4 linked regions of the Saccharomyces cerevisiae S288C genome follow. The protein of the gene in region 3 binds, or shares a complex with, the protein of the main gene of each other region. Each region holds a gene or a part of one and is shown on either strand. Other genes may lie near its edges. The genes, in order: SNU13, PRP31, SMD2 and SNU23.

Region 1 (7,902 bases), on a different chromosome or scaffold from region 3:
AAACGGCTAACAACGCAAGAACTCAATGCCTTCCAACATCCAATTGTCGAGTTTCAGTAAGTACTCAGGTATTACGTTATGTACATGTATGATAATTCTGATTAACATCTTTTATACACAAAGATGTATGCATGAATGGTGCAAATATCTCGACGATGCGCAGTAAAGAAAGCAATTTACTACTAACGTCTAGCGATATCATAGATGATGACAGGATAACGATATAGGTTAGATGGATATTGGAGTAATTGTCAAGTCCCATTTTGATTGAAGACAACATTATTAGGCCTACAGAGTTGCTAAAATTCTCCACTAGGTCACAGGAGTTCGCAAAAGAGAATCAACAATCTACATAACCATGCACACATTTCTTCGTCCTCTACGTTATAATTTACTGCTCTAAAAGCGTCACTTCTCCTTTCATTTTATGTTTTATTGTTCATTATCCTACTGCGTTATCAATCCTTACATTTCGGCTTCCACTAAATTTAATGACTGCTTCTCATCATTTCATGTCTTCTAACGCCGTATATAATAATATCCCAGCAAAATATAACTGTTAGTTAGTGAATCATAACCGACTGTTACTCCTGCAATATCCATGGGAGAAATCACCATCGGAAGGTAAACTAACACGTAGGTATTGATTCTACCGGAAATGAACAAATGTCGTACTGCCCAAATGAGCCAAATGCCATCATATACGCCTTCATAACTATATTTGAAAAATACCTTTGCCTAAAAGACGAGTGGTATTGGAAACTTCAATTAGTGTTCAAAAATGTCCAGTGAGAGGATGAAGTTGTCGTGGTTGAAACAGCATAAACCACCTAAAATAGTATCAACTGACAACAACTGTGGAACACATGCGGTTACTTTTATAATTAACCGCAAAATACCTGAAATGAGCTAAGAAATAGTAATTATAAACATGCCACTACAAGTAACAGATTAAGTGATATGTTGGCGGACCTCAATATAAGCGACATGGAGAGATAGAGATAGAAGAATTTGTTATTGTGTTAATAAATAAAGTTAACATCCAGTTCTTTCAAGTTGGCTAAGCGCCGTGGCGCAGTGGAAGCGCGCAGGGCTCATAACCCTGATGTCCTCGGATCGAAACCGAGCGGCGCTAATTTTTCATTTCTTTTTGCCCGCAACAATAACACAGATCGCAATCATTTAAGCTATAGACTATAAGCTTTAACTTCTGCGTTATTATTAATAATTGTTATTGTTTTAGTTAGGTATTTCTATCAACTTATTTTATATATTCTATATTACAGTTTTCTTTTTTTACAAATTCACCCAGCAATTATTTATTATTAATTGTACATCTTCTTTAATAATGAATTTATTATTGCACAATATTCAACTTAGGAAAGATAGAGGAACTGAATTCTTTATCAGCAATGAAATAGGCCGTCTACGGCCGTCTACGGCCTATTCCATTGCTAAAAATTTGAATCGTATAAAGGGATATTACCCGGAAAAGAAACGCATTAAAAAAAAAAAAAAAAAAAAAACAGAAAAAGTGGTTAAGTGATTGACTGACCCTTGATAGTTTTGTACAATTATACACTCGTTCTGATTAAAAACTTGTTTATAAAAATCTTTTTAAAAGAAAGAGAAGATCGTGTTTATTGCTTTTCTCAAAAAGACTAATCAATTAGAATAACAAAAGAAACATATACATATAATGACTGAATTGTGTCCTGTCTACGCCCCTTTCTTTGGTGCCATTGGTTGTGCCTCTGCAATTATCTTCACCTCATTAGGTGCTGCTTACGGTACTGCTAAGTCTGGTGTTGGTATCTGTGCCACTTGTGTGTTGAGACCAGACCTATTATTCAAGAACATTGTTCCTGTTATTATGGCTGGTATCATTGCCATTTACGGTTTAGTTGTTTCCGTTTTGGTTTGTTATTCGTTGGGTCAAAAGCAAGCTTTGTACACCGGTTTCATCCAATTGGGTGCCGGTCTATCAGTCGGTTTGAGTGGTCTAGCTGCTGGTTTCGCTATTGGTATTGTCGGTGATGCAGGTGTTAGAGGTTCCTCTCAACAACCAAGATTATTCGTCGGTATGATTTTGATTTTGATTTTTGCTGAAGTTTTGGGTCTATACGGTTTGATTGTTGCTTTGTTGTTGAACTCCAGGGCTACTCAAGATGTTGTCTGTTAAGGCAGCTTCTGAATCACTAAAGCAGGAATAGAGTATACAAAAGAATCTTTTTGTGAGAAACTATGAAAACTATCAAAATTTTTCATCTTAGAGATTGTTTATAGCCCCTATTCTTACTTCATATCCAAACTACCTCATTTCAAGCTTCCTTTTTATTAGTACCATTATTATTGTTTAAAAGAGTATTACACGCTAAATATGTATATCTTAATTTTTAATGTGTATAAAATAGAAAATTTGAATATCAAGGAGCAACAAAGAGCATTATGCGTTTTAAGCTACACAATGGGTACGATGAGATCACTATACCTGTACTCTTAAAAGAGGCCCAACCTTATCAACTTCTATTGTTAAAGTAGACAATTGTATCGTTTCTTTTTCTTATCGGTTTTATCCGGGTAATAAATTCAGCATATAGAAAAATTTTTCATTTCTATTTTCTTTTTCTTTTCATTTTTCCTTTTTCTCAGAAAATTTTTTTTTCTAATGCTGGAATGAGATGAGTTAGAAAATTTTTCACTTTAAAACTGATTATTCTGGTTAATAGTGCTTATTCCTCTTAGTGTTCAAGTCCTACTTTCAAATCTTAATTTAAATCATCATTCGAGCGAGCTTTCTATACCAGGACCATACTGATTATTGCAAGGAACTTGAATAAACCAGATTTCATACTATAAAAACTATATTAAAAATGTCTGCCCCAAACCCAAAGGCTTTCCCATTAGCCGATGCTGCATTAACCCAACAAATCTTGGATGTCGTTCAACAGGCTGCTAACTTGAGACAATTGAAGAAAGGTGCCAACGAAGCTACCAAAACTTTGAACCGTGGTATCTCCGAATTCATCATTATGGCTGCTGACTGTGAACCTATTGAAATCCTATTGCATTTACCATTACTATGTGAAGACAAGAATGTTCCATATGTCTTTGTTCCATCTAGAGTTGCTTTAGGTAGAGCTTGTGGTGTTTCTAGACCAGTTATTGCTGCTTCTATTACCACCAACGATGCTTCTGCTATCAAGACCCAAATCTACGCTGTCAAGGACAAGATTGAAACTTTATTAATTTAAGTAGATTGGATTATATCTATCAACATAGTTTTTGTACCATCTATATACTATAAAAAAGTTTTTTGCTTTCCACTAGTGCAGACGCTAATAGTGCTGTTTTGTTAGTGGTATGATATATGTCATATCTTCATTGAATAACCTACTCGAGTGCATCTGTAAATGCACAAACATGTATTATCAATTGAGCTGTAGTAATTTAGGCATAACAAAAAGGTGCAAGATCTCATGGCACCTATTCGTTCGTAGGAGATTTATTGTCACCTTTTTAGTTTTACAGGATCGAAAAAATCTATGGTCTTGTATGGTGAATGATCTATATGTCTTCTCTTTGAATTTCTAGCTAGCTCATCAAAGCCGCTTTCATTTATTCCAGTCTCTTTACTCACGGAATATTGTTTAGTAACATTTCGCATGCTTTTCTCAGACCTTCGAAAAGCTCTTTTACATTCGAGCTTGATCTTTTTGTAATCATGCAACGTTCTCATCCACAGCTCACCAATGAATTCCGATATTATATAAATTTGGCCCTCAGTACCGCAAAGTAAAAATAGAGGTATGACGCCTTCCAACCTTTGACTATTGAAATTTGGACATATTTGAAGGTTTTGAAATCCATCTGGGATGGCCGCCAGTGAGATTATCTTATTAGGTAACCGAATTTTGAGGTATGGCATAGCCAACCCGCCCTTATCAACTGATAATTTAGAATCTTCGTATATTGTCAAGGTATTATCAATACCAATGGTGGCAACATAAGATCTATTGGAATATTTCAACGTTGCACAAGAAAGGTCTGATAATCGACCTAATAGATAGTTCTTATCACTCGCTAAACAATCGTTTTTAGGTTCTCTTAGCTTCTTAGGAATTATTTTAGTCGCCACTTGTGTAATGCTTCCCAACCGCTTAAAACCCAAGTAGGGACATTCAGGGTACTCTGATGGATATACTATGGACGTCCTAATTGGAAAGCGGGTTCTCAAAAAATCTCTCAAGATCTCAAATTGAACCAGATAATCACCACTCATATAAGCTGGAAGACCTATATGGTTAATCGATGAAAGTGCTGGGAAGGAATAGGCCTCTAAAATTTCCGCGCCCTCTTTTAGCATGTTTATTTTATATGCTGCTATGCCACTATCACCAGAAAATAAAACCAAGTTGCACTCATAGTATATGAACACCGAGAATATACAATCTTCGAGATAATTCGCGTACAATTGGGTAATGTTATTGTTTCTAATTTCAAACAGCCAGAATTTTGTACGTTTTTCACCAACTCCTAAGCATACAACAAACTTATTACCATAAAAGGGTCTCTGTGATAAGTAGATTGAGTTTTGTTCTGGCCACAGTGGCTTCACAACGGCATGTAAATACTTTTCATCCGAGAAACTGAATGTGGAAACTGCCTTCATTGAAGCATAATTGAATAGCATCAACTTATACTGCCTACTATTGCTATCGACCAAACACACCACGGCCTGATTGAGGTTATTTGGAACAGTATAGAGCTCTACGGGAATGCTAGGGAGGTAAAAGATATGATTTTCTAATTGAGGTTTTAATGAAGTCATCTGCTTAGTGAAACCTTCACGGTAAAACGTGCTACCAAACTCAAAGATGCTTATTCGAGAATCATAATCTAAAACACAAAGAGAGAACAGTGCTTTACCGGGTCGAATTCTCATTCGTCTTGGAACTAAGCCTAACTGTATGCAACCATAAGACATGTTTTGAAGATTTAACAAAATTATTTCCTTATCGTTGTAAAGGAAAACCAAAGGTAAGGAAGGAATCGTATCCAACAGTTCTAATTTCTGATCGTATAACGAATGAATCTCTAAATCCACTCTCAAAAAATTTGATTCTGATTTGTAGACTCTTACGCAGCCAGTGTATGATGATGCGATGACATAAATCGAGTCGTGTTTATGCTTTTTGCTTAGCCAAGATATTTTTATCAATTGATCATAGGCTATGAAAGAATAGTCTGGATGTGATGTAGCCACTTTCTTTTGATTGGCATTCCATACCGAAAACACACCGTCCAAGTAAATGACAAAAAGGTATTTCTCGGCACCATCTGAGAAACAGCTCACAATACTCTCTTTAGAATTGAGCCCATGGATAAAAAATTCTTCTTTTTTACGTAGAAAACCAGATTTTGCCTCAAGTATCGAAATCCTGAGCTTGGAGTTCTGTACGGGATAACAAAACATGGTGGAAGAGTTGTGGTTCGACTGCAAGAAATCGACCTGCCTAAATTCTCCGGTAGAACCATCCATACCGGCTTTCAAAACTTTTCCCGTCCTAGAAACAAATAGACCGTAATCATAAGGCTCATCCATTAAAAATATTCCGTTCTTATAAATCAACCCACCTGATTCATATGCAAATTCGTCACCACCATTAAGTGCTAAATCTGTAACCCAAAAATCAGTTACATTCTCTACTAGCGCTTTGGAGGAAGTCACTAACTTGAACAGGGTTTTGTCATATACCAAAATTTTCTTTTCTAAAAATCCTCTTCTTGAGTTAAAACTTCCACCCAAAAGCAGTGAATCAATATCTGTCCCCTTGTTTCCAATAACTTGTGATGCCAGGTAAACTTTGTTTGTATAAGCGGGACCGCTTTTCACCTTTTCTAATTTTGAACCTCGATGATCTTTCGATATAAAATTTACTCCATTTATTCTTGTCACCGCTATATACTTTTCACGTGGGAGCTGCAAAATAACATCGCATAGATCATGTTTAGGAGGCTTGAACACTCTTTCTTTTGTCCATTGTAGTTCTTTCAGGACGTGGTCTCTATGTAACGACCTAGTGTGTATCTTGGCAGTGTATTTGTTAGCATACACGTCAGAAATTGTCAAGAGAATGACTGATCTTTCATATATCACATCATAAGAATCTTTTAGAAATTGGTAGTTTTCTACATTTGGGAGACCTTTATTATTGAAAAAAGCCCCGTTTGTAAGCCCACTTGCTTTTATATTTATTATTTGAGTGTAGTTAGTAGTCAACACTACAATGGTATGGCCGCAAACTACCTTCATATAACAAAATTCATTATCACATATCGGCAAAAGATTGTATTGGCGGTACTCGTTTAAATCAAATTTCCTACTTCCATGCTTTCCAGCAAGATTGTATTCCTTTAAAAACAGGTTTTCACTATAGCAACTCTTAAGTAGGCAAAGAAAATAAACGTGTGATTTACCTGTGCATGTGGCGTCGTCAAGCAAATCCTCCCTGCTAATAAAATCAAAGGAGATAATTTCTTCGCCATCGGTGGCATAAAATCTTTCGACTATTCCTTCTCTGAAGTCAAAGGAGTAAATTGTCGTACATAACGTATGCAAATCACTATCATATGATATGTTTTTATTGCAAGTGTATAAAACACCCTCAAAGGAAGCATTTAACCAGCTGGAAGTTAATAAAGAAATAGTATCCAGTTTCGGAGCCACATTAGAGTCGTAGATAATTTCAAATTTGTTATTTTCGCATTTGAATCCCTTAATGGAACCGTCGTTAAACATTAGCAGGTGACAGAAGGAAGCTGACATGAACATCGGTACAGTTGCGTAGTTAACAACGAACGGTCCATCTAAAGCGAACTCAACCTTCGCTTTCAATTCGTTGGACGTTCCGGTATACAATCCATAGCTAAAACATAAAAAGTAACTTCCTTCGTGATGAAGACAACTTACCAGCTTCTCAGCCTCATCTTTTGATCTATAAGATGTTATGCATAAAGGTAAAAAGGCCGAATTGCTATCCAATTTTTTGCAGTCCGTTTCATCTTGTCTTGCCATTTTACGTGGCAATGGCTAGTGCAATATGCAATGCGCTAACGCTGACATTATAACACAATATATTTTTCTACCCTCCCTTTCGCTGAGTTGCGACCAGAATGTCTGTTTTTCAGTCATGTATTTCTTTCCGCTTTAGGCGTTCAGGCAAGCGCGTTCAGTTGAAAGCAAATAGAACCTATAACGACGAATACGCTTAAAGGAAGTATACAGGAAATAGAAAAAGAAGCGTACTGCATGTACTAAAAACCAAAAAAAACACCACATCGGCTCTCTGGTTGTATCCATACTTTCCCTAAAATTTTGTAACTCAAGAAAATACCTACATAAAACGATAATCAGTGGATTGCACTGATCAAGTCGAAAAACTCCGTACATGCCCGTCTATCCCTGTCTCATCCATATAAACTGAACTAGGTAGAAAAAAATACCTACCCTTTCTTTAACCGCCTGGTATATTAAATACCATTGTCAATTGAGAAGCTAACAGCCATTGTAAGAGTTATGTCCAGTGTCCGACTAAGACAAGGTAACCATACGTTGATAGCTATGAATACCCCAGAGGAAGATTATTCTTTCTCATAAATCCTTTTTATTGGTTTCAAAAATCCACCAATAAGTTCATATAGCTTGGGCGGCTATTCATGCGTAATATAATGTGCATGAAGTACGACCCATCGACTCTTAGAGCAAATGCTTCCTAAATTGAAATAACTAGCCGCCTTTAATTCGAGCCTTCTTGTCATCTTGTGTATTTCATCCTTTCAACTTCTCCTGTTCCACCTTTCACTCTAAGCTTCCCTATCATTTGGCCTCTTTCAGGTTCG
Region 2 (9,157 bases), on a different chromosome or scaffold from region 3:
GCGTATTCATTATTTTTAACAAATTCCTAGTTCTCAAATCTGAGTCTCTTGGTAAAAATTTGCCTCCTTAGCTTAGTGGTAGAGCGTTGCACTTGTAATGCAAAGGTCGTTAGTTCAATTCTGACAGGTGGCATAATTTTATATATCTCTTTTTTTGCTTGTTGTACGGAAGTTCTGTCCATCCGGTGGGCGACCGGTATAGAATTATCGCGCCATCCATGAAGGTTGGCCCAGGGCCGAGTAAAGATTTAGGCAGGACCGGTGGTGGCCACTGCCTGGGAACGTCGGCCTACGGCTCGCTGCATGCCGTTGAAAAATTTCAATTGTAATTTGGAAAATTTAACCAAATGATAATTTCAATATGTACCACTAGCACTTTACGTCAAGAATCTCAAGCAAACCAAAGGGTTTTAATCTTATACTTTTCCATTCTATTTTTTAATAGAATTTAAATCGGCAGCTCTTATACTTGGAAACAGGACGTTTTCATTTTGCTTTTTTGAAGGCCAGATATTTGCTTTCACTTTAAGAACCAACTCCAAGAAATCTTCAAAGTTTCCTTTGTTAGATTTATCCTCTGATTGAATTATTGAAACCACAGGTATAATCACTTTGGGGTAGAACATTATAGTTTTCATAGAAATTTTACAAAGGATCTCCTTCATATACCATGGCTACAAGTGTTAAAAGAAAAGCATCTGAGACTTCTGACCAGAATATTGTTAAAGTGCAAAAGAAACATTCCACACAGGACAGCACAACTGACAACGGATCCAAAGAAAATGATCACAGTAGTCAAGCCATCAACGAGCGTACCGTGCCCGAGCAAGAAAACGACGAAAGCGATACTTCACCTGAAAGTAACGAGGTCGCTACTAACACTGCTGCGACTCGCCACAATGGAAAGGTTACTGCAACAGAGTCCTATGATATTCACATAGCTAGAGAAACGGCTGAATTATTCAAGTCTAATATTTTCAAGTTACAAATTGACGAATTACTGGAGCAAGTGAAGTTAAAACAAAAACATGTTCTGAAAGTCGAAAAATTTCTACACAAGTTATATGATATTCTCCAGGAAATTCCTGATTGGGAGGAAAAGTCATTAGCTGAAGTGGACTCCTTCTTCAAAAACAAGATTGTTTCTGTTCCATTTGTTGACCCCAAACCTATTCCTCAAAATACTAATTATAAATTCAATTACAAGAAACCAGACATCTCCTTAATTGGCTCCTTTGCTCTTAAAGCTGGAATTTATCAACCTAACGGCTCTTCCATTGATACTTTACTAACAATGCCAAAGGAGTTGTTCGAAAAAAAAGATTTCTTAAATTTCAGGTGCTTACACAAGAGGAGCGTTTATTTAGCATACCTAACCCACCACCTATTGATATTATTGAAAAAAGATAAATTAGACTCATTTTTGCAACTCGAGTATTCTTATTTTGATAATGATCCGCTTTTACCAATTTTAAGAATTAGTTGTTCCAAACCAACGGGTGATTCTCTTTCTGATTATAACTTTTACAAGACCAGATTCTCTATCAACTTGCTTATTGGTTTCCCATACAAAGTCTTTGAACCAAAAAAACTGTTACCCAATAGAAACTGTATTAGAATAGCACAAGAAAGCAAAGAGCAATCTTTACCAGCCACTCCTCTTTACAATTTTTCAGTGTTATCTTCTTCAACACATGAAAACTACCTGAAGTATTTATACAAGACGAAGAAACAAACAGAATCTTTTGTTGAAGCTACTGTTTTAGGTAGATTATGGCTGCAGCAACGTGGGTTTTCATCCAATATGTCGCATTCTGGTTCATTGGGTGGATTCGGTACTTTTGAATTTACTATCTTGATGGCAGCGTTATTAAACGGTGGTGGTATAAATAGTAACAAGATATTACTTCACGGGTTTTCATCATACCAATTGTTTAAAGGTGTAATAAAATACTTAGCCACTATGGATTTGTGCCACGACGGCCATTTACAATTTCATTCTAATCCAGAGAATTCCTCCAGTTCACCAGCTTCTAAATATATTGATGAGGGTTTCCAAACTCCAACCTTATTTGATAAGTCAACCAAGGTCAATATTCTTACAAAAATGACTGTTTCTTCTTATCAAATTTTGAAAGAATATGCCGGTGAAACATTGAGAATGCTAAACAACGTTGTTCAAGACCAATTCTCAAATATTTTTTTGACTAATATTAGCCGTTTTGACAATTTGAAGTACGATCTGTGTTACGATGTACAGTTACCTTTGGGTAAGTACAATAATTTAGAAACTTCTTTAGCTGCTACATTTGGGTCAATGGAAAGAGTAAAATTTATTACTCTGGAGAATTTCCTCGCCCACAAGATTACAAATGTTGCAAGGTATGCATTGGGCGATAGAATCAAATATATCCAAATTGAAATGGTTGGTCAAAAGTCCGATTTTCCAATCACCAAAAGAAAAGTGTACTCTAACACAGGAGGTAACCATTTCAACTTTGATTTTGTAAGAGTAAAATTGATTGTTAACCCCTCTGAATGTGACAAATTAGTCACCAAGGGCCCTGCTCATTCTGAAACTATGTCTACAGAAGCAGCCGTTTTTAAGAATTTTTGGGGAATTAAATCTTCCTTAAGAAGATTCAAGGATGGCTCCATCACCCATTGTTGTGTTTGGTCTACATCCTCATCAGAGCCCATCATTTCCTCAATTGTTAACTTTGCATTGCAGAAACATGTTTCAAAAAAGGCACAAATATCAAATGAGACTATCAAGAAGTTTCATAATTTCCTACCGTTGCCAAACTTACCCTCAAGTGCTAAAACATCAGTTTTGAACTTGAGCAGCTTTTTCAACTTAAAGAAATCCTTTGACGATTTATACAAAATAATTTTCCAAATGAAGTTACCGCTTTCTGTAAAATCAATCTTACCGGTTGGCTCTGCATTTAGATACACTTCCTTATGCCAACCAGTACCATTCGCATACTCTGATCCAGATTTCTTTCAAGACGTCATTTTGGAATTTGAAACCTCACCTAAATGGCCAGATGAAATTACTTCCTTAGAAAAGGCTAAAACAGCTTTTCTTCTCAAAATTCAAGAAGAATTAAGCGCTAACTCTTCAACTTATAGGTCGTTTTTCAGCAGAGATGAATCCATCCCATACAATTTAGAAATTGTAACCTTGAACATCTTGACACCTGAAGGTTATGGATTCAAATTCAGAGTTCTAACTGAACGTGACGAAATCCTTTATTTAAGAGCTATAGCGAATGCTAGGAATGAGTTGAAACCAGAATTGGAGGCCACATTCCTAAAATTTACTGCAAAATATCTGGCTTCCGTAAGACATACTCGTACTTTGGAGAATATATCTCATTCGTATCAATTCTACTCCCCTGTGGTAAGACTATTCAAAAGATGGTTGGACACTCATTTATTACTAGGTCATATAACGGACGAATTAGCAGAGTTGATTGCCATTAAACCTTTTGTTGATCCTGCACCATATTTCATTCCAGGTTCTCTTGAAAACGGTTTCCTCAAAGTGCTTAAGTTTATAAGTCAATGGAACTGGAAAGATGATCCATTGATTTTAGATCTAGTAAAACCAGAAGATGATATAAGAGATACATTTGAAACAAGTATTGGAGCTGGCTCAGAGCTAGACTCCAAAACGATGAAAAAGCTTTCTGAAAGATTAACCCTAGCACAATATAAGGGCATTCAAATGAACTTCACGAACTTGAGGAACAGTGATCCCAACGGTACACATTTGCAATTTTTTGTTGCCTCTAAGAACGATCCAAGCGGTATTCTTTATTCATCAGGTATCCCACTACCCATTGCTACAAGGCTTACAGCATTAGCTAAAGTAGCCGTGAATCTTTTACAGACACACGGTTTAAACCAGCAAACTATCAATCTTTTATTCACGCCTGGATTAAAAGATTACGATTTTGTCGTTGATTTGAGGACACCAATAGGTTTGAAATCATCCTGTGGTATACTTTCAGCCACAGAGTTCAAGAATATAACTAACGATCAAGCCCCATCGAACTTTCCAGAGAATTTGAATGATTTAAGTGAAAAAATGGATCCAACATACCAGTTAGTGAAGTATTTGAACTTGAAGTACAAGAATAGTTTGATTTTATCAAGCCGCAAGTATATAGGTGTGAATGGTGGAGAGAAAGGAGATAAAAATGTCATCACAGGGCTAATAAAGCCACTCTTCAAGGGAGCCCACAAATTTAGAGTAAACTTGGATTGCAACGTTAAACCAGTGGATGATGAGAATGTGATTTTAAATAAAGAAGCCATATTTCATGAGATTGCTGCATTCGGGAATGACATGGTTATAAATTTTGAGACAGATTAGAATAAACAACAAAATCATAACTTTTAGAAGTATCTGTATAATATTAAATAATTAAAGCAGCCGGCAGTTTACATAAAGAATATTTTTCTTTAATTCTTTTTTTTAGATGTGGTCCTTTCGGCGATTTGGCACAAGTTAACTTAGTATTTTTAAAAGTTTTGAATAGTACTGCTGTGGCGACGCTCAGAATAAAGCTAGGTAAACGATTTGAACGCCTCAACTAGCACTATTTGATAGCATTTTGGCTGCAGAAAATATACAAAGACCTTATGAGCTCTGAAGAGGACTATTTCGATGAGCTCGAATATGACCTTGCCGATGAAGTTAATGAGGAAAAAGAAGACATACAAACTAAAAAGCTCACTACGGTAAATTGTCAAACAGAAAAATTCAATCCATTCGAAATTCTTCCGGAAAGTATAGAATTATTCAGGACGTTGGCACTCATCAGTCCTGATAGGTTATCTCTATCAGAGACAGCACAGATTTTACCAAAAATTGTCGATTTAAAAAGAATCCTTCAACAACAAGAAATAGATTTCATTAAACTGTTACCGTTTTTTAACGAAATCATCCCCCTCATCAAGAGCAATATAAAATTAATGCACAATTTTCTAATCTCACTGTACAGTAGACGTTTTCCAGAACTATCTTCATTGATACCATCACCATTACAATACTCAAAAGTGATAAGCATACTGGAAAATGAAAATTATTCAAAAAACGAAAGTGATGAACTATTTTTCCACTTGGAAAATAAAGCAAAATTGACCAGAGAGCAGATCCTCGTTTTAACAATGTCCATGAAGACGTCTTTCAAAAACAAAGAGCCATTGGACATCAAAACGAGGACGCAAATTTTAGAAGCAAATAGCATATTGGAAAATTTATGGAAACTACAAGAAGATATAGGTCAATACATAGCCTCAAAGATATCAATAATTGCCCCTAACGTGTGTTTCTTGGTAGGCCCGGAGATAGCAGCCCAATTAATAGCACATGCTGGAGGGGTTTTGGAGTTCAGTCGCATTCCCAGTTGCAACATTGCGTCCATTGGGAAGAATAAGCACCTCTCACATGAGTTACATACATTAGAGAGTGGAGTACGACAAGAAGGATATCTATTTGCTTCTGACATGATTCAGAAATTTCCCGTTTCTGTCCATAAACAAATGCTTAGGATGCTTTGTGCAAAAGTATCACTAGCCGCAAGAGTTGATGCTGGCCAGAAAAACGGTGATAGAAATACAGTTTTAGCTCATAAATGGAAAGCCGAACTATCGAAGAAAGCTAGAAAGCTATCAGAAGCCCCGAGCATTTCTGAAACGAAGGCTCTACCTATTCCGGAGGACCAACCCAAAAAGAAAAGAGCTGGGAGAAAATTTAGGAAGTACAAGGAAAAATTCAGACTATCGCATGTCAGACAATTACAAAATAGGATGGAATTTGGCAAGCAAGAACAAACTGTTCTTGATTCCTATGGTGAAGAAGTTGGTTTGGGTATGTCTAATACTTCTTTACAACAAGCAGTAGGAGCTACATCAGGTTCCAGAAGATCTGCTGGTAATCAAGCCAAGCTAACAAAGGTAATGAAGCACAGGATTTCTGAGGCTAATCAGCAAGCTGACGAATTCCTAATCTCCTTGGGTCATAATACAGAGCAACCGAATCTGTCGCCAGAGATGGTTCAAATGCACAAGAAACAGCATACTAACCCAGAAGAAGAGACCAATTGGTTTTCCGGTCATGGTTAGGGCTCTTCTACATACTTGATAATATTTAAAAAGATATTATATAGTAGTGACCGGCGAGAGCGTTTTCGCTCATAAATTTCGTAAAAAGCCAAACACCACACGCTGCAACCCAGATGCCCTTTTTAGGAAATGTAATTATTCAAAAAGTAAACAATGACATGTTTCATTCCTCAATCTAAATCATTCGAAGCTACCTTGATGTTGAAGCCCTCCGCTTGTTGTTTATTTAAAAATAAATACAAGGAGGCAATTCGTCCAAGTAAATTATTGTAAGATAGAAACCTTGCTAAAGATAGAAACTAATATACCAGAAAAATTCAAGCAACATCTACAGTATTCCTTGCTAAAGAAAAATTCTTTAATATGCTATCAAAATCAGAAAAAAATGTCGACCTCTTGGCAGGCAATATGAGCAATTTGAGTTTCGATGGGCATGGGACTCCTGGGGGCACTGGACTATTTCCTAACCAAAATATAACAAAGAGGAGGACAAGGCCTGCGGGTATCAATGATTCACCTTCGCCGGTAAAACCATCCTTTTTTCCTTACGAAGATACTTCCAACATGGACATAGACGAAGTATCTCAACCTGATATGGATGTCTCGAACTCTCCCAAGAAGCTTCCACCAAAGTTTTACGAAAGAGCAACTTCAAATAAAACACAGAGAGTTGTTAGTGTTTGCAAAATGTACTTTCTAGAACATTACTGTGATATGTTTGACTATGTAATTAGTAGAAGACAACGCACGAAGCAAGTTCTAGAATACCTGCAACAGCAAAGCCAACTTCCGAATTCTGACCAGATTAAACTCAACGAAGAGTGGTCCTCTTACTTACAAAGGGAACATCAGGTTTTGAGAAAAAGAAGGTTGAAACCAAAAAATAGGGATTTTGAAATGATCACACAAGTAGGTCAAGGTGGTTATGGGCAAGTTTATTTAGCCAGAAAGAAAGACACAAAAGAGGTGTGTGCTTTGAAAATTTTGAACAAAAAACTATTGTTTAAGCTCAACGAGACAAAACACGTTTTAACTGAAAGAGATATCCTAACCACGACAAGGTCTGAATGGTTAGTAAAACTTCTGTATGCATTCCAAGACCTACAAAGTTTATACCTGGCTATGGAATTTGTACCAGGCGGTGATTTTCGTACATTATTAATAAATACTAGATGCTTGAAAAGTGGCCATGCGAGATTTTACATCAGTGAAATGTTTTGCGCTGTTAATGCGTTACATGATTTAGGCTATACACATAGAGATTTAAAGCCGGAAAACTTCTTAATCGATGCCAAGGGACATATAAAATTAACAGATTTTGGTTTGGCTGCTGGTACGATTTCTAATGAAAGAATTGAAAGTATGAAGATAAGGTTAGAAAAAATCAAGGACCTGGAATTTCCAGCGTTTACAGAGAAATCTATAGAAGATAGAAGAAAAATGTACAACCAGTTGAGGGAGAAGGAAATTAATTATGCGAACTCCATGGTTGGGTCTCCGGATTATATGGCTTTGGAGGTTTTAGAAGGAAAGAAATATGACTTTACTGTGGATTACTGGTCGTTGGGTTGTATGCTGTTCGAAAGTTTAGTTGGTTATACACCATTTAGTGGATCATCGACTAATGAGACCTATGACAACTTAAGGCGCTGGAAACAAACTTTAAGAAGACCGAGACAATCTGATGGGAGGGCAGCATTCTCCGATAGAACTTGGGATTTAATAACAAGATTGATTGCCGATCCAATCAATCGATTAAGATCCTTCGAACATGTTAAACGCATGTCTTATTTTGCAGATATAAACTTTAGTACTTTGAGGTCAATGATCCCGCCTTTTACACCCCAACTAGACAGCGAAACTGATGCCGGTTATTTTGATGACTTCACCAGTGAGGCTGACATGGCCAAATATGCTGATGTTTTCAAAAGACAAGACAAATTAACGGCTATGGTAGATGACTCGGCAGTATCATCAAAACTTGTTGGGTTCACTTTCCGACATAGAAATGGTAAACAGGGTTCCAGTGGCATCTTATTCAACGGACTGGAACACTCAGACCCCTTTTCAACCTTTTACTAGCGTAAAAATGAATTCTTGTCTTGCATTCGCCGCGATATAATTAGCTTTAACGAGCTTCATGCAAACTTTTCAACTAGCACCTATGAACGCTTTTTTCATAAATATACATATATATATATATAGTTGTGCATTACTTAGGACTTCAAGCCCATTGTTTAAAATCTCAGTTCACGGTAACGGTCCATCCCATGACCGTTTTGAACTAAACTTAAGCATTCATGTTGGGAGCGGCGAAACTTGGTAATGTTTTACAGGAAAACAGCAATGACCACTATTAATCGAAAATCTGCAAAAAATGAAAAGGAATGGGTGTTAACATCAATTGTTTTTTCAATGATAATTACAAATTGGACTGATACTACATTGCTAGATGTACAAAAAACGCAAGGTAGCTCTCTTAGAAGGATCCATAATATATAAAAAAGGGCTTATGGTTTACTGATATCTTTTTCACTTCAAAAACTTACATATAAAAATAGGATGACAAATGCAAAGATTTTAGTAGCTCATATAAGTGAAAGCGATGCCGATGAGGCTATCAGAAAGATCAAGAAAGTGAATGAAAAATCAGGGCCCTTTGATCTAATAATTATATTCAGTAACTCGTATGATGAAAATTTTGAGCTGAATACTGATGGGTTACCTCAACTAATACTACTATCGTGTGATAAGGCTAACAATTCGAAATCCAAAAAGATAAATGAAAATGTAACATTGCTGCATAATATGGGTACTTATAAATTAGCAAATGGAATCACTCTTTCATATTTTATTTATCCGGATGATACTCTTCAAGGGGAGAAAAAAAGCATACTGGACGAATTTGGCAAAAGTGAGGATCAGGTAGACATTCTCCTTACAAAAGAATGGGGCCTTTCGATCTCTGAGAGATGTGGAAGGTTGTCTGGAAGTGAAGTTGTTGATGAATTGGCGAAAA
Region 3 (7,903 bases):
GTAATCCTCTACAATCTGCAATATTCTCTAACCATACAAGTGAAAATAAGCAATTAAGAGATGTCGAAGAATCAAATTTCAGTACATCACCCCTAAGAGCAGATTATGGCAATAATATTATCTCCTCGATACCAGCGTCATTTACTAGCAATTCAATTCCGGTCAGTGTCAAACAAGCTCGAAATGGCTCTTCTTCGGGCGATATACTTTTCAGCAACGGTGCTCATGACATGATCAACAATATTTCCACCTGGACCAATAACTCCGTTCTAGATGCTTTGAATAGCAAGTCCATACTACAAACAATATTTCCCCAGAGTCAAGAGCCTTCATCTCTGTCCATGGACAAACAGCAGCAACAACATCAACAACAAAATATGTGTTCTGAAAACAATGTAACCGCTAATAATTTTCAACAGACGCAGAATGACCCTTCGTATAACAGAAATTTGTTCATGATGTCCAATCAGGAAGGTGTACAATATAATCTTGACGAAACAGAGAAGAATGGACCTAAAACACAGGTGGAAGCAAACACTAGCGCAAATCTGCATTTCGACAATGTTATTCCTACAGTAACTAACGCAGACATCAGGAAAAAGCGTTCTAACTGGGATAACATGATGACATCTGGTCCGGTAGAAGACTTTTGGACGATTAATGATGACTACGGCTTTTTAACGTGATACTACATTAATATAATAGTATGTACAAACTCATTCCTTTTTTTTTTTTTTTTTTTTTTCTCTTTTTTTTTAAAAGAACAACTAAATCGCTTTTTTTAATTATGATATGGGTCATATCTTATAAGCCTAATCTAAAACACATTTTTTTCTTTCATTTATATTGTTTTTAAAATCAATAAAACTCTTTCTTTCCTGTATAAAGTCCTCTCCAAAAGACTAAGTAGCGTGTTTGCAAATAAATACGGGTAAGCAGTTATTCTGGCCGAAAATTATGAAAAACTAGCGGATCTTTAACAACTTCTACTGCTTCAGCGCAATACATATTGAGATCACATCTAATAGGTTCAAAATGTTCACGGGTATAAGCGTTTATTTCTTTTACCCTTGTTTTCAGTACTTCAAAAGTTACAGCACAAAAGAAACATTGTATTATCAATTGAATTTTGTCCATTGAGGAAATAAAAAGTAACATAATAAGTTAACATTAATAAGTATACGCATATATGGAGCGAACAAATACAACAACATTCAAATTTTTTTCATTGGGAGGAAGTAACGAAGTTGGACGATCATGTCATATATTGCAATATAAAGGTAAAACAGTGATGCTCGACGCAGGAATTCATCCGGCATATCAAGGATTAGCTTCATTACCTTTTTACGATGAATTTGATCTTTCCAAAGTCGATATCTTACTGATATCACATTTCCATTTAGACCATGCCGCTTCACTTCCGTATGTGATGCAACGGACTAACTTTCAAGGCAGAGTTTTCATGACACATCCAACCAAAGCCATTTACAGATGGCTACTGCGAGATTTTGTAAGAGTTACTAGTATAGGTTCTTCATCCTCCTCTATGGGGACTAAAGACGAAGGTCTATTCTCAGATGAGGATTTAGTTGATTCTTTCGATAAAATTGAAACGGTGGACTATCATTCTACTGTTGACGTCAATGGTATCAAATTTACGGCATTCCATGCAGGCCATGTATTGGGTGCAGCGATGTTTCAAATAGAGATTGCTGGCCTTAGGGTGTTATTCACAGGTGACTATTCGAGAGAAGTAGATCGTCACTTAAATTCTGCTGAGGTGCCTCCACTTTCATCCAACGTATTAATTGTGGAATCTACCTTTGGTACCGCTACTCACGAGCCCCGTTTAAATAGAGAAAGGAAGCTAACCCAACTAATCCATTCCACAGTGATGAGAGGAGGCCGTGTTCTACTGCCTGTTTTTGCTTTAGGGAGAGCTCAAGAAATCATGCTTATACTGGATGAGTACTGGTCTCAACATGCTGATGAACTCGGTGGTGGACAAGTCCCAATATTTTATGCATCAAATTTGGCAAAAAAATGTATGAGCGTTTTTCAAACCTATGTAAATATGATGAATGATGACATTAGAAAAAAATTTAGAGACTCTCAGACTAATCCCTTCATATTCAAAAATATATCTTATCTTAGAAACTTGGAGGATTTCCAAGATTTTGGTCCCAGTGTGATGTTGGCCTCACCAGGTATGCTGCAAAGTGGGTTATCAAGAGATTTACTTGAAAGGTGGTGCCCTGAAGATAAAAATCTAGTACTAATCACCGGTTACTCCATCGAAGGAACAATGGCGAAATTTATTATGCTTGAGCCAGATACAATACCTTCCATAAATAATCCGGAAATAACCATTCCAAGACGTTGTCAAGTTGAAGAAATCTCCTTTGCCGCACACGTTGACTTCCAGGAAAATTTAGAATTTATTGAAAAGATTAGTGCGCCAAATATCATCCTTGTTCATGGAGAAGCCAATCCCATGGGCCGTTTGAAATCTGCATTGTTATCCAATTTCGCGTCTTTAAAGGGTACAGATAATGAAGTCCATGTTTTTAATCCTAGAAACTGTGTTGAAGTAGATCTTGAATTTCAAGGTGTCAAGGTTGCAAAAGCTGTGGGAAATATTGTGAACGAAATATATAAAGAAGAAAACGTAGAGATAAAGGAAGAAATTGCGGCTAAAATTGAACCTATAAAGGAAGAAAACGAAGACAACTTGGATTCTCAAGCAGAAAAAGGTTTGGTTGATGAAGAGGAACACAAAGACATAGTCGTTTCTGGGATTCTAGTTTCAGATGACAAAAATTTCGAATTAGACTTCCTTTCTTTGTCTGATTTAAGAGAGCACCATCCCGATCTTTCTACAACGATATTAAGAGAGCGCCAGTCAGTTCGTGTAAATTGTAAAAAGGAGCTAATTTACTGGCACATTTTACAAATGTTTGGAGAGGCTGAAGTTCTTCAAGATGATGATAGAGTAACAAATCAAGAACCAAAGGTTAAAGAAGAGTCAAAAGACAATCTGACCAATACAGGTAAATTGATTCTACAGATAATGGGTGATATTAAGTTAACTATTGTTAATACTCTAGCCGTTGTGGAATGGACTCAAGATTTAATGAATGACACTGTAGCAGACTCCATTATTGCTATACTTATGAATGTGGATTCAGCTCCCGCCAGTGTCAAGCTTTCGAGTCATTCTTGTGATGATCATGATCATAACAATGTGCAGTCTAATGCACAAGGTAAGATTGATGAAGTTGAGAGGGTGAAGCAAATCTCAAGGTTGTTTAAAGAACAGTTTGGTGACTGTTTTACTTTATTTCTCAATAAAGATGAATATGCAAGTAATAAAGAGGAAACTATAACTGGAGTGGTTACCATAGGTAAAAGCACTGCTAAGATTGACTTCAACAATATGAAAATTTTAGAATGTAATTCAAATCCTTTGAAAGGTAGGGTGGAAAGCCTCTTAAATATTGGTGGTAATTTGGTCACACCGCTATGTTAAAAACAGTTACGCATACTAAGTAGACTACTTTATAGAAGTAATACCAAACCAAAATCTGGTTAGAACTGCCTTTTATTGTTTACCTTAATCACTCTTTACGTAATGAAACCTAGAGATGAAATTTTAAAAATTTTTTTTCACGAACATAAAGAATAACTCTTCTAGACCATCTCATCTCATCTCATCTCATCTCATTTCATTTCGATTCTTCTAATTTCTTTCATTGAGTAAGAGCCTTTTGTTTTGGCTGATAGTTATAGTCAATCTACAATTTATCTCACAAAAGAAATAGACTAAGCCAAAACTGCAACGAAAGATCAAAAAAATGAGCTATGAGAAAAAGTCTGTGGAAGGCGCTTATATTGACGATTCTACAACGTTCGAAGCATTTCATCTCGACTCTCGTTTATTACAAGCTATTAAGAATATAGGATTTCAGTACCCAACATTAATTCAATCACATGCTATTCCTTTGGCTTTACAACAGAAGAGAGATATTATAGCAAAGGCCGCTACAGGTTCCGGAAAAACTTTGGCATACCTCATTCCTGTAATTGAAACTATCCTAGAATATAAAAAAACAATTGATAACGGAGAGGAAAATGGTACACTAGGTATTATACTTGTTCCAACAAGAGAACTGGCTCAACAAGTATATAATGTTTTAGAAAAACTAGTCTTATATTGTTCAAAAGATATAAGAACTCTGAACATATCATCCGATATGTCTGACTCAGTTTTGAGCACTCTACTTATGGATCAACCAGAAATCATAGTTGGTACACCTGGTAAATTATTGGATTTGTTGCAAACAAAGATTAATTCTATCTCATTGAACGAACTAAAATTTTTAGTAGTTGATGAGGTGGATTTAGTGTTAACATTTGGTTATCAAGATGATTTAAACAAAATTGGAGAGTACTTACCATTGAAAAAAAATTTACAAACATTTTTGATGAGTGCAACCCTAAATGACGATATACAGGCTTTGAAACAAAAATTTTGTCGTTCTCCAGCTATTCTTAAATTCAATGACGAGGAAATAAATAAGAACCAAAACAAATTACTTCAATATTACGTTAAAGTCAGTGAATTTGACAAATTCTTACTATGCTATGTCATTTTTAAACTTAACTTAATCAAGGGTAAAACATTAATTTTTGTAAATAATATTGACAGAGGATATAGGCTCAAGCTAGTTATGGAACAATTTGGTATCAAGTCCTGTATTTTAAACAGCGAGCTACCCGTTAATTCGAGGCAACATATTGTTGACCAATTCAATAAAAACGTTTACCAACTATTGATTGCCACAGATGACACCGAGTACATAAAAGAGGAAGATGACGAAATAGAAGAAGGGCACAATACAGAAAATCAAGAAGAAAAAAGCTTGGAAGGCGAGCCTGAGAACGATAAGAAACCAAGCAAGAAAAAGAAGGTCCAAGTGAAGAAAGATAAGGAATATGGTGTTTCTCGTGGTGTTGATTTCAAAAATGTTGCATGTGTCCTCAATTTCGATTTACCTACGACGGCTAAGTCCTACGTGCATAGAGTAGGTAGAACTGCTCGTGGCGGAAAGACCGGTACTGCAATTTCATTCGTAGTCCCACTGAAAGAATTTGGTAAGCATAAGCCATCAATGCTACAGACAGCAAAGAAGGATGAAAGGATTCTTTCACGAATCATCAAACAACAGAGCAAACTTGGATTAGAATTACAGCCTTACAAATTCGATCAAAAGCAGGTCGAGGCGTTCCGTTACAGAATGGAAGACGGTTTCCGTGCTGTTACTCAAGTTGCCATTAGAGAAGCTAGGGTCAAAGAGTTGAAACAAGAACTATTGGCAAGTGAGAAGTTGAAAAGACATTTTGAGGAGAATCCAAAAGAGCTACAAAGTTTAAGACACGATAAAGAATTACATCCAGCAAGAGTGCAACAGCATTTAAAGCGTGTTCCAGATTACTTGCTTCCTGAATCAGCCAGAGGAAATGGAACCAAAGTCAAGTTTGTTCCTTTCCACAATGCTAAGAAGCGCCATTCACATAAAAAGGGAAGAGTCAGTAAGCCAAAGAATGGTAAAGTAGACCCGTTGAAGAACTTCAAATGATTAATAATATTGATATTTATTCTATATTTTATGTAAAAATCTACTTATTAAAAATGCTCTTTAGTTAAATGTGATAATATAGATGCTTTATTCGTTTTCTTGAATATAATACTTTCGCAAGAGCTAGAAAATCAGCCAATAATAATTGGTCTTACTTCCAAAATAAAAAAAGGCTTTCCGCTGACTGTAAAGTTTCTTACGATGATTTGCTTTCCTTGTTGATTGAGGGCTGCTTGTCTTACTTTTTACTCAACAGGGGTTTTTAACACAACGATAACTGAATCACCTCTTAAGAATAGTTTACTTATGAATCTTTCCCGATTAATTACATTTTTGCCCTTCTTCTCTGTCCAAAGCTCCTTCACATTTTCTAAAACCATATTACAATGCCTGTCGAAAGCTTTCACTCTCGCTATTATTTTATGATTGTTTCTTAATGAGATTATCACAGGTGTTCTTGTCACCATAGCATCATTTATCAGGGACATTGGACCATGTTTGAATTCAAATTCTTCTAGTTCCTCTAATTCTGCTCTAGAGAGTTCATGTTTTGGACGATCAATTATTTGTGAACTGGAAAGATACAAATCAATTACTTTTAAGTTAGTATATAAAAATTCACTCCAAATTATAGGATGTAAAAATGGTTAAGATCAAACATACGACATGATAAAACGGTTTTATAATACTCCTCTAATCAACTGTCAAAGGCGGGGCAAACGTGATGGCGCTTGCTATTAAGAATGATGATGTTCTAGTGATGATGTTCTTGTCATACCTTTTGAGTAAGATAATTTTCATTTGGTAGTATTACCCGTAGTAATATCACGATAGGACAAATTGGTCCCCATAAAGTCACTTCAAGAGCTCATGTACTGTAGGATTGTTCAGTGGTAAATCGACCTCTATTTTCTAATTTCTTTCGTATGTCTTTGATTTCAATTTCTTTTTTAAGAAGCTTTGAATTATTTTGATTGACGGTCATATCAAGTCTGTGCGTTTATTATACAAAAAGAATATGAGACGCAGATGAAACCTCAAAAAGTATAATTTCGTTTACAGAATTTATATAGAAATATAATAATGAAGTATTTGTAGCGAATTTTTTAGATTCATTACATGCAAACAAGTAGAAAAGGCGTCAAGCTAAGACTTTATTGTTGTCATACACCACTTCTGTAAATATTCTGTCCCTGGTGTCTCAATTGAATTGTTTCATGCTTCTCTAGGGCATATAAGGCCTTATCCAGTGCTAATTGAGAAAATCTATGTGTATCTACAAATTCTCTCCTCAAAGTTTGATAAGAAGTAGACCAGCCTATAGGTAATCTTCTTTTTAGTTCTTGTTCAAAACGACGGATTTCTGACAAAGATGTTCCGCTTGCTTGATTTAAGCCGCCAATTGGATCCTGAGACGCTGCGTCCATTGTGGAAGCTTGAAACAATCTAATAGCTTCGTCAACATGTCTCTCCTGTGCAATAGGACTTAATTCTAACTTGGCTAATGATTCTGTTATTCTAATAATAGCTTCTAATTGACGAATGGTAATTGGAATAGACGACCTTTCCGTTGACTCTAATTCGTTGATTAATAATTGCTTCCTAATGGTGACGAAGTTCGATGACAGTTTTTCAGCGGCCTGCGGTGAAAGTCTTGGTGCACATTTCAATCTACAATACGTAATGTAACGTTTCATCTTTTCAATACTAATTTCACTGCCATTTTCCTCTTGTTGGTTTTGCATAGCATTAGCATTTCCTGTATGAATATTAATAACGTGGTTAGCTATTGAAATATCACGTTCTTCATTATGGTCATCCTTAACAATAAAAATCATATCAAAACGGGATAAAATAGTAGTTTGGAAATCAATGTTGTCACCAGGAGACTTCAAATCATCATACCGGCCGTATATCGGATTAGCAGCCGCTAAAACACTAGTTCTAGAATTTAGCACTGTAGTGATACCAGCTTTTGCGATGGAGATTGTTTGCTGCTCCATAGCTTCATGAATGGCCACTCTATCTTCATCTCTCATTTTATCGAATTCATCGATGCATACAACACCACCATCGGCAAGCACCATAGCACCACCTTCCAAATAAAATTCTCTTGTCATCGGATCTCTTTGTACACTGGCAGTTAACCCAGCTGCAGAAGATCCCTTACCAGATGTATATACCGCAATAGGTGACACTTTCTCCACAAATTTCAATAGTTGAGATTTGGCGGTACCTGGATCACCTAATAATAGTACATTGAT
Region 4 (6,128 bases), on a different chromosome or scaffold from region 3:
CATTGCCACTAAAGGAGGATGAACATCGGTGAAGAATATGTTGTTCACGTATTGAGAAACAAATGTACCAACTTCATTTTCACCAAAAACAACACTATTTGGCAGGGAGATATTGTGTAGCCTTACGATGGCAGTAAATATCAGCAAACAGCCAACTAGAAGCTTTTCCTTAGATGAAGTAACTGTTCGTAATGAACTCAAATTATCACAGGGTTTTGTTATGAGAAAAGACCTCAAAGGGCCGCGTTTAATAGTCACATCGGGGATGGGATCCACCTTCAGCAAATGCTCTTTATTCATCTTTAAAGCAGTTATGATCTTACACACCTGCTTAATTGTTAAATCAATAAGAATATTTTCGAAAAAGAAGAAAAGAAACGGGTCTATGCATAATATGTACTACGCTTCTGTTCCTTTTCTATTGTTCTCGAATGCCTATTCGATAGACTTTTCGCGGCACGTAAACGAGTTCTTGGAAAAAAAACGGTGCGAAATGATAATACCACTGAAACTACTTGCAGATCATACTTATTTGAGCGAAATAGAATACGTGTCTCTAAACGCAGATGGACAATATAGTCAGCTTCAAGACATTTTTTTTATTCATGATGTTTTTTTTGTCTATTTTCGTTTTTAATTATACGCTCGAGAGCTTATAGAAGACTTTACATAAAAATGTGGAGAGTACTGGGAAATTTATTCCAAAACAGCCCTTTTTTCTACTTTTAAAATGTTAGCTCCCTCCTCTTCCAACATTTTTTTGACAACTTCTGGATCTAGTTCATTACCTTCTGTGTCTTTAAAGATTTTCTTGCCATCCTCGTTCATGAGATCTTCATACGACGGACCGTCCCCTTCTATAGTGATTTCTTCAACTGTACTAGTGGCGGCAGGTTGAGATTCACGTTTAGTCAAGGTTTGGTTTTTGTACTCTTCTAATGAAGAAAAGTATGTGTTACAATTGTAGTCCCAACCAGACAACCACTGCGATTTTTGACACAATTCTTGAGTCCATGGTGTACCGTAAATAATTGGACTGAAGCTCTTGAAGAAATACACAGAAGCAGCAAGGAAAGTGATCACTACCGCGTAGCCCATTTGTCTCTTGCTGCGGAAAACATAAGAAACTATTATGTCCAAGGCGTGGCCAAGGGCAAGAATACCGAAATAATAAGCAGGTAAGTAGTGATGCAAAAACATTTGACGTTGCATTAAGAAAGATGGAGCATAATGGACGGCAAAACCCAATAAGTAGTGAATAACCTGAACGTGGAAGTTAACAACCTTGGAGTCCTTCAAAATTGGTTTACCTAACTGCCACGAGAACAGCTCAGTGATAACAATCAATCCGAAAATACCGATGAAAGCGGTGACAGCCCACCATACGATCGCATTACCTAATAGATAGACGTTTCTGTTATTTTCACCCCAGTAACTTATACCACGTAGCAAGAATGGCCATGAAGTTGGTTGTGATTCATAAACATGAGGTTCGACCAAATTTTTATTGATATGCCACATCTTTTTATGGGATTCAATAAATTTAGAAATGAAGCTTGCAGGTTTATAGGAAATACGCTTGGTATCTTCTGGTAACAATGGGTTACTGTTGTTCTCAACGTACCACAATGTTAAATCATGTCTACCGGAGGAGGCACAGGTAACTTCTTGTTGTTCGAACCCCCAAGCTGGCAACTTGACTTCGTGGGAAAACAAATAACAGCCTGTCATAGCATGTCTCAATCTAAACTTTGTGTCCAAAGCTATGACCCGTTCTTGGGCAACTCCAGGAGCAGAATTCTTTTTATCAATCTCAACAACCCAGTCATCATTAGCATCACCGTCGAATCCGCTGTAACCATAACAAGAAACCTCCTTCTGCCAGTCGCTGCTTTCTGAAACGGGTGGCTTATGGTCATGAGAGTGTAATCTACATCTTGTAACAGTGTGGAATAGTCTGACCTTGGTACCATCGGTTAGGTTTTGGAATGTTGTTAAAGATTCGCCGGGTGCGTTGTAAAGTTCCAACAACCAATCGTTATTGGCATCCATGTGAGGATATAAAGTGCTTTGTTGTTGTTCCGAACCAGCTGGATAATTGTGTGAATGAGAATGCAAATAACCGCCCATGGTAGAGAGATGACGCAAGCTGATAATGGAGCCAATGCCGACATCAGCAACGACATTTTGGGGGATCTTATTGTTCTTTAGTGTAGATCTAAATTCAGGCGAAAAGAAGCTTGCGCCATCCCCGTCCAAAGTTAATGATTGGAAGTGGATATAAAAGAAGACCAGATAAAGGGCAAAAGGCACACCCAACAAGAAGGCCAATTTGGCAAATGCTACTTTGAAGATGGACTTGGAAGACTTAGTCAAATCCCCAATCATGAACCATAGTCTCCAGATACATAAAAGACCCACCCATGTAACCGTGAAAAGACCAACCCATTTGGATGAAGATGCCATACCAAGAGCAATACCAGTAGCAAGCAAGGACTTGTAAGCATTGAGCGAGTTGGCAGGGTACATTTCGTATTTCTTGAAAGAGTAGACTGCAGCTGCAATGAAAAACATCAATGGGGCGTCCAACAGAATGTAACGAGAAATAGTGACGTACGAGTTTTCAACGGCAAAGCAGATAGCGCTCATCAAAGCAACCCACATACGAACACCAGAATAACGTAAAGTCATGTACATCAAAATAACAGTAAGAGCCCCCAAAGAAGCAGAGAAAAATCTCATCAACACGTATGGCGTCGTAGATGGAAAGCTGTCACCAATATTTTCGAAGTCAAAATCACCCTGGAACCCACCAAGCGATGCCACACCAGCATACAACATCTTTGCAAGAGGAGGATGCACATCCATGAAGTAAGTCCCCCTAATGTATTGCGAGGCAAACCCACCGAAATGTACTTCATCAAACACCACGCTGTCAGGCCATGCCAAGCCATGCAATCTAATGACCGCTGTAAAGACAGCAAGACAGGCCACTAACAGCTTCTCTTTAAGAGTGACCATGGTTCGTAACGAGGCCAATTCGGCACTCGGATCGGTAACAATAAAGGGTCTTACGGGGCCCTGCTTGATATCCAGTTCGGGCACGGGATCATCCTGCTCTACACGTTTGTACGTTTTCTCTTCCGACATGACCGTGCTTGTAGCTGTTAGCTGTTTCTTGATAGGCTCTTCTGATACTACCTCGCTTTAACAATGCACCTGTTTGTCTTGTTTTGCTGCTCGAAAATAATCAAGATCTGCTTAGAAACGCCAAACTCTTCTTCGACACGTGTCGAGAAAAAAAACGCAGCGAAAAAAAAAAAAAAGGTATATCATCACAATATACGATATAAATGGGCAGGGCAACCCCGAATGATGTATATTCTCTTCTGGTTCCAAGGGTGGCAAATGTTGGTAGAAAGCGTAATTGAAGCAAAGATCCGTTAAATAAGGCCAACTAACAGAAGCGCTGAAAGAGGACAATTGGTGATTAATCTATAAACGAGGAACTTCATGTCTCTGCCAGGTTCGAAATTAGAAGAGGCCAGGAGACTGGTTAATGAAAAACAGTATAATGAGGCAGAACAAGTCTATTTGAGCCTGCTGGATAAAGACAGCTCACAGAGCAGCGCCGCTGCCGGTGCCAGTGTGGATGACAAGCGTAGAAATGAACAGGAGACAAGCATATTGGAATTAGGACAGTTATACGTGACTATGGGTGCAAAGGACAAATTGCGCGAGTTTATTCCTCATTCTACGGAGTATATGATGCAATTTGCCAAATCCAAAACGGTAAAGGTATTGAAAACGTTGATTGAAAAATTCGAGCAAGTGCCGGACTCCTTGGACGATCAGATCTTTGTGTGCGAGAAAAGCATCGAATTTGCCAAGAGAGAAAAAAGGGTGTTTTTGAAGCATTCACTCTCGATCAAATTGGCCACCTTACATTATCAAAAGAAACAGTACAAGGACTCATTAGCATTGATTAACGATCTTTTGAGGGAGTTCAAAAAGCTGGACGACAAGCCCTCTTTGGTTGATGTACATCTATTGGAAAGTAAAGTTTACCATAAACTGAGGAATCTAGCCAAGTCCAAGGCCTCGTTGACTGCAGCAAGGACGGCCGCTAACTCCATATACTGTCCTACACAAACAGTTGCGGAGCTGGACTTGATGAGTGGTATCCTGCACTGTGAAGATAAAGACTACAAAACTGCATTTTCGTATTTCTTCGAAAGTTTTGAAAGCTACCACAATTTGACTACGCATAATTCCTACGAAAAGGCATGTCAAGTGTTGAAATACATGCTATTGTCTAAGATCATGCTGAACCTTATTGATGACGTAAAAAACATCCTAAACGCAAAATACACAAAGGAAACGTACCAGTCCCGAGGCATTGATGCCATGAAAGCTGTCGCTGAGGCTTATAACAACAGATCGCTTTTAGACTTCAACACGGCGCTAAAGCAATACGAGAAGGAACTAATGGGCGATGAACTAACAAGATCCCATTTCAATGCATTATACGACACGTTATTAGAGTCCAATTTGTGTAAGATTATTGAGCCATTTGAATGTGTGGAAATATCCCACATTTCCAAAATAATCGGTCTGGATACTCAACAAGTTGAAGGAAAGCTCTCCCAAATGATACTAGATAAGATATTCTACGGTGTTCTGGATCAAGGTAATGGTTGGCTTTACGTTTACGAAACTCCGAATCAGGATGCCACGTACGACTCTGCATTGGAATTAGTCGGGCAACTAAATAAAGTCGTCGATCAACTATTTGAAAAGGCAAGTGTCTTGTATTAGGTTTACATGTATATATATGTATGTATACTCACAAGTACCAGAGTAAGAATTCCTAAATAAACTTATAAAATGCAGAAAATACATAAGTATGATTTTTCTTTTTTTTCTCCTAAGAAAGGAAGAAGTTTAATCGAATGCGCCGCTAAATAGAAAACAGTTGATGCGAAAGTTCATCAAAACCAGAAGTTCCTACAAGCCTTAGCTGACAAAAATTCGAGAAAGCTAATGTCGAATTTTGGCAGAAGAACTTGGGATAGAGAGGAGTATGCTGAGCAGGCTAGAAGCGGCTATGACGATCGATCCTTAAAGGCTACGCTAACACCGATTGAATTACAAGCTTTAAAATCCAAATATACAAATTACGATCATTTAATCAAGGGCTCGCTAAAAGACCTAAATAAAAGGAAACTAACAGCAAATACAGAGAGCTTATCGTCTTTCAAGAGGGGAAAGAAGTTCGGATTTTACTGCGATATTTGTAACCTAACCTTCAAAGACACTTTACAATACATTGATCATCTCAACCACAAGGTCCATGCAATAAAATTTGAAAATTTGTTTGATGAACCGTTAATTATAGATATAAGAGATAATGATGACGTACCGCAAGAGGAGTTTGAGTTGTGCTATCATAACTTGATAAAGGATTTTGTAGAGGTGCGTTCTATGGAGACTCAGTCCAAGAGGAAAAGGCTTTTGGACACAGATGTGGAGAAAGCAAAGAAAGTGGCTACTAAGCCTTCTATTGAGAGTGAATCAAAAGTCAGTCAAATGATGGGATTTTCCAATTTTGCCACCTCTAAAAAATGAGAAACCAAGTAAAGATAAATGAGCATAATACAAGCATAGAGCACATATAAAAAGTCGGGACTCAGATCAGATCATTAGATATATCTTTTATGTATATAAACCCTTAATTAAAATATATACGCGAAAATATTCATTCTCAAAATTCCATTATTGGGCCAGAACCAATACTTCTCCAAGTGGTCATGTCTACGTTCCACTGGCGCCATTTGTTCAGCATAACGCGATCCACTTCCATATTATTCCCGTGGGCCACCTGCGTACCAGAATTGGTTACAGATTGTGAGGGAGTTAGATTATTGCTTGAAGTGTTGAAATCCGCAAATTGAATAGGAGTTGCTGTGGTATTTCTTGCTGCCTTAGCTTCTGCTAATTTTAATTTTTCTACTGCGGCAATTAATTCATCCCTTGCGGTTTGCAAATCGTTTTGTAAACCATTAATGATGTCTTCTTTTTCCTGCAATTGATCCTGTAGGTCATCGACAGTAGTTTCATTTTCCATA

Evidence for each region.
Region 1: SMD2 (region 3) and SNU13 share a complex: the UniProt entries of both Saccharomyces cerevisiae proteins name them as parts of the U4/U6-U5 tri-snRNP complex.
Region 2: SMD2 (region 3) and PRP31 share a complex: the UniProt entries of both Saccharomyces cerevisiae proteins name them as parts of the U4/U6-U5 tri-snRNP complex.
Region 4: SMD2 (region 3) and SNU23 share a complex: the UniProt entries of both Saccharomyces cerevisiae proteins name them as parts of the U4/U6-U5 tri-snRNP complex.

Annotation. Positions count from the first base shown.
Region 1 is NC_001137.3:99,070-106,971, forward strand, and holds SNU13 (RNA binding protein SNU13), read left to right. Parts: upstream 1-2,873; coding exon 2,874-3,254; downstream 3,255-7,902. Other genes in the region: YEL028W (uncharacterized protein), read left to right, coding at 1-60; VMA3 (H(+)-transporting V0 sector ATPase subunit c), read left to right, coding at 1,700-2,182; YEL025C (uncharacterized protein), read right to left, coding at 3,512-7,078. UniProt on the Saccharomyces cerevisiae protein: Common component of the spliceosome and rRNA processing machinery. In association with the spliceosomal U4/U6.U5 tri-snRNP particle, required for splicing of pre-mRNA.
Region 2 is NC_001139.9:661,688-670,844, forward strand, and holds PRP31 (U4/U6-U5 snRNP complex subunit PRP31), read left to right. Parts: upstream 1-4,653; coding exon 4,654-6,138; downstream 6,139-9,157. Other genes in the region: rRNA-processing protein UTP22, read left to right, coding at 671-4,384; serine/threonine-protein kinase DBF2, read left to right, coding at 6,502-8,220; DRN1 (Drn1p), read left to right, coding at 8,701-9,157. UniProt on the Saccharomyces cerevisiae protein: Promotes the association of the U4/U6.U5 tri-snRNP particle with pre-spliceosomes to form the mature spliceosomal complex.
Region 3 is NC_001144.5:692,782-700,684, reverse strand, and holds SMD2 (mRNA splicing protein SMD2), read right to left. Parts: upstream 6,308-7,903; coding exon 6,303-6,307; intron 6,213-6,302; coding exon 5,885-6,212; downstream 1-5,884. Other genes in the region: YLR278C (uncharacterized protein), read left to right, coding at 1-686; cleavage polyadenylation factor subunit YSH1, read left to right, coding at 1,190-3,529; DBP9 (ATP-dependent DNA/RNA helicase), read left to right, coding at 3,855-5,639; MCM DNA helicase complex subunit MCM5, read right to left, coding at 6,803-7,903. UniProt on the Saccharomyces cerevisiae protein: Plays a role in pre-mRNA splicing as a core component of the spliceosomal U1, U2, U4 and U5 small nuclear ribonucleoproteins (snRNPs), the building blocks of the spliceosome.
Region 4 is NC_001136.10:284,081-290,208, reverse strand, and holds SNU23 (U4/U6-U5 snRNP complex subunit SNU23), read left to right. Parts: upstream 1-5,043; coding exon 5,044-5,628; downstream 5,629-6,128. Other genes in the region: putative dolichyl-phosphate-mannose-protein mannosyltransferase PMT5, read right to left, coding at 1-300; dolichyl-phosphate-mannose-protein mannosyltransferase PMT1, read right to left, coding at 697-3,150; proteasome regulatory particle lid subunit RPN6, read left to right, coding at 3,514-4,818; BUG1 (Bug1p), read right to left, coding at 5,765-6,128. UniProt on the Saccharomyces cerevisiae protein: Participates in pre-mRNA splicing. Part of the U4/U5/U6 tri-snRNP complex, one of the building blocks of the spliceosome.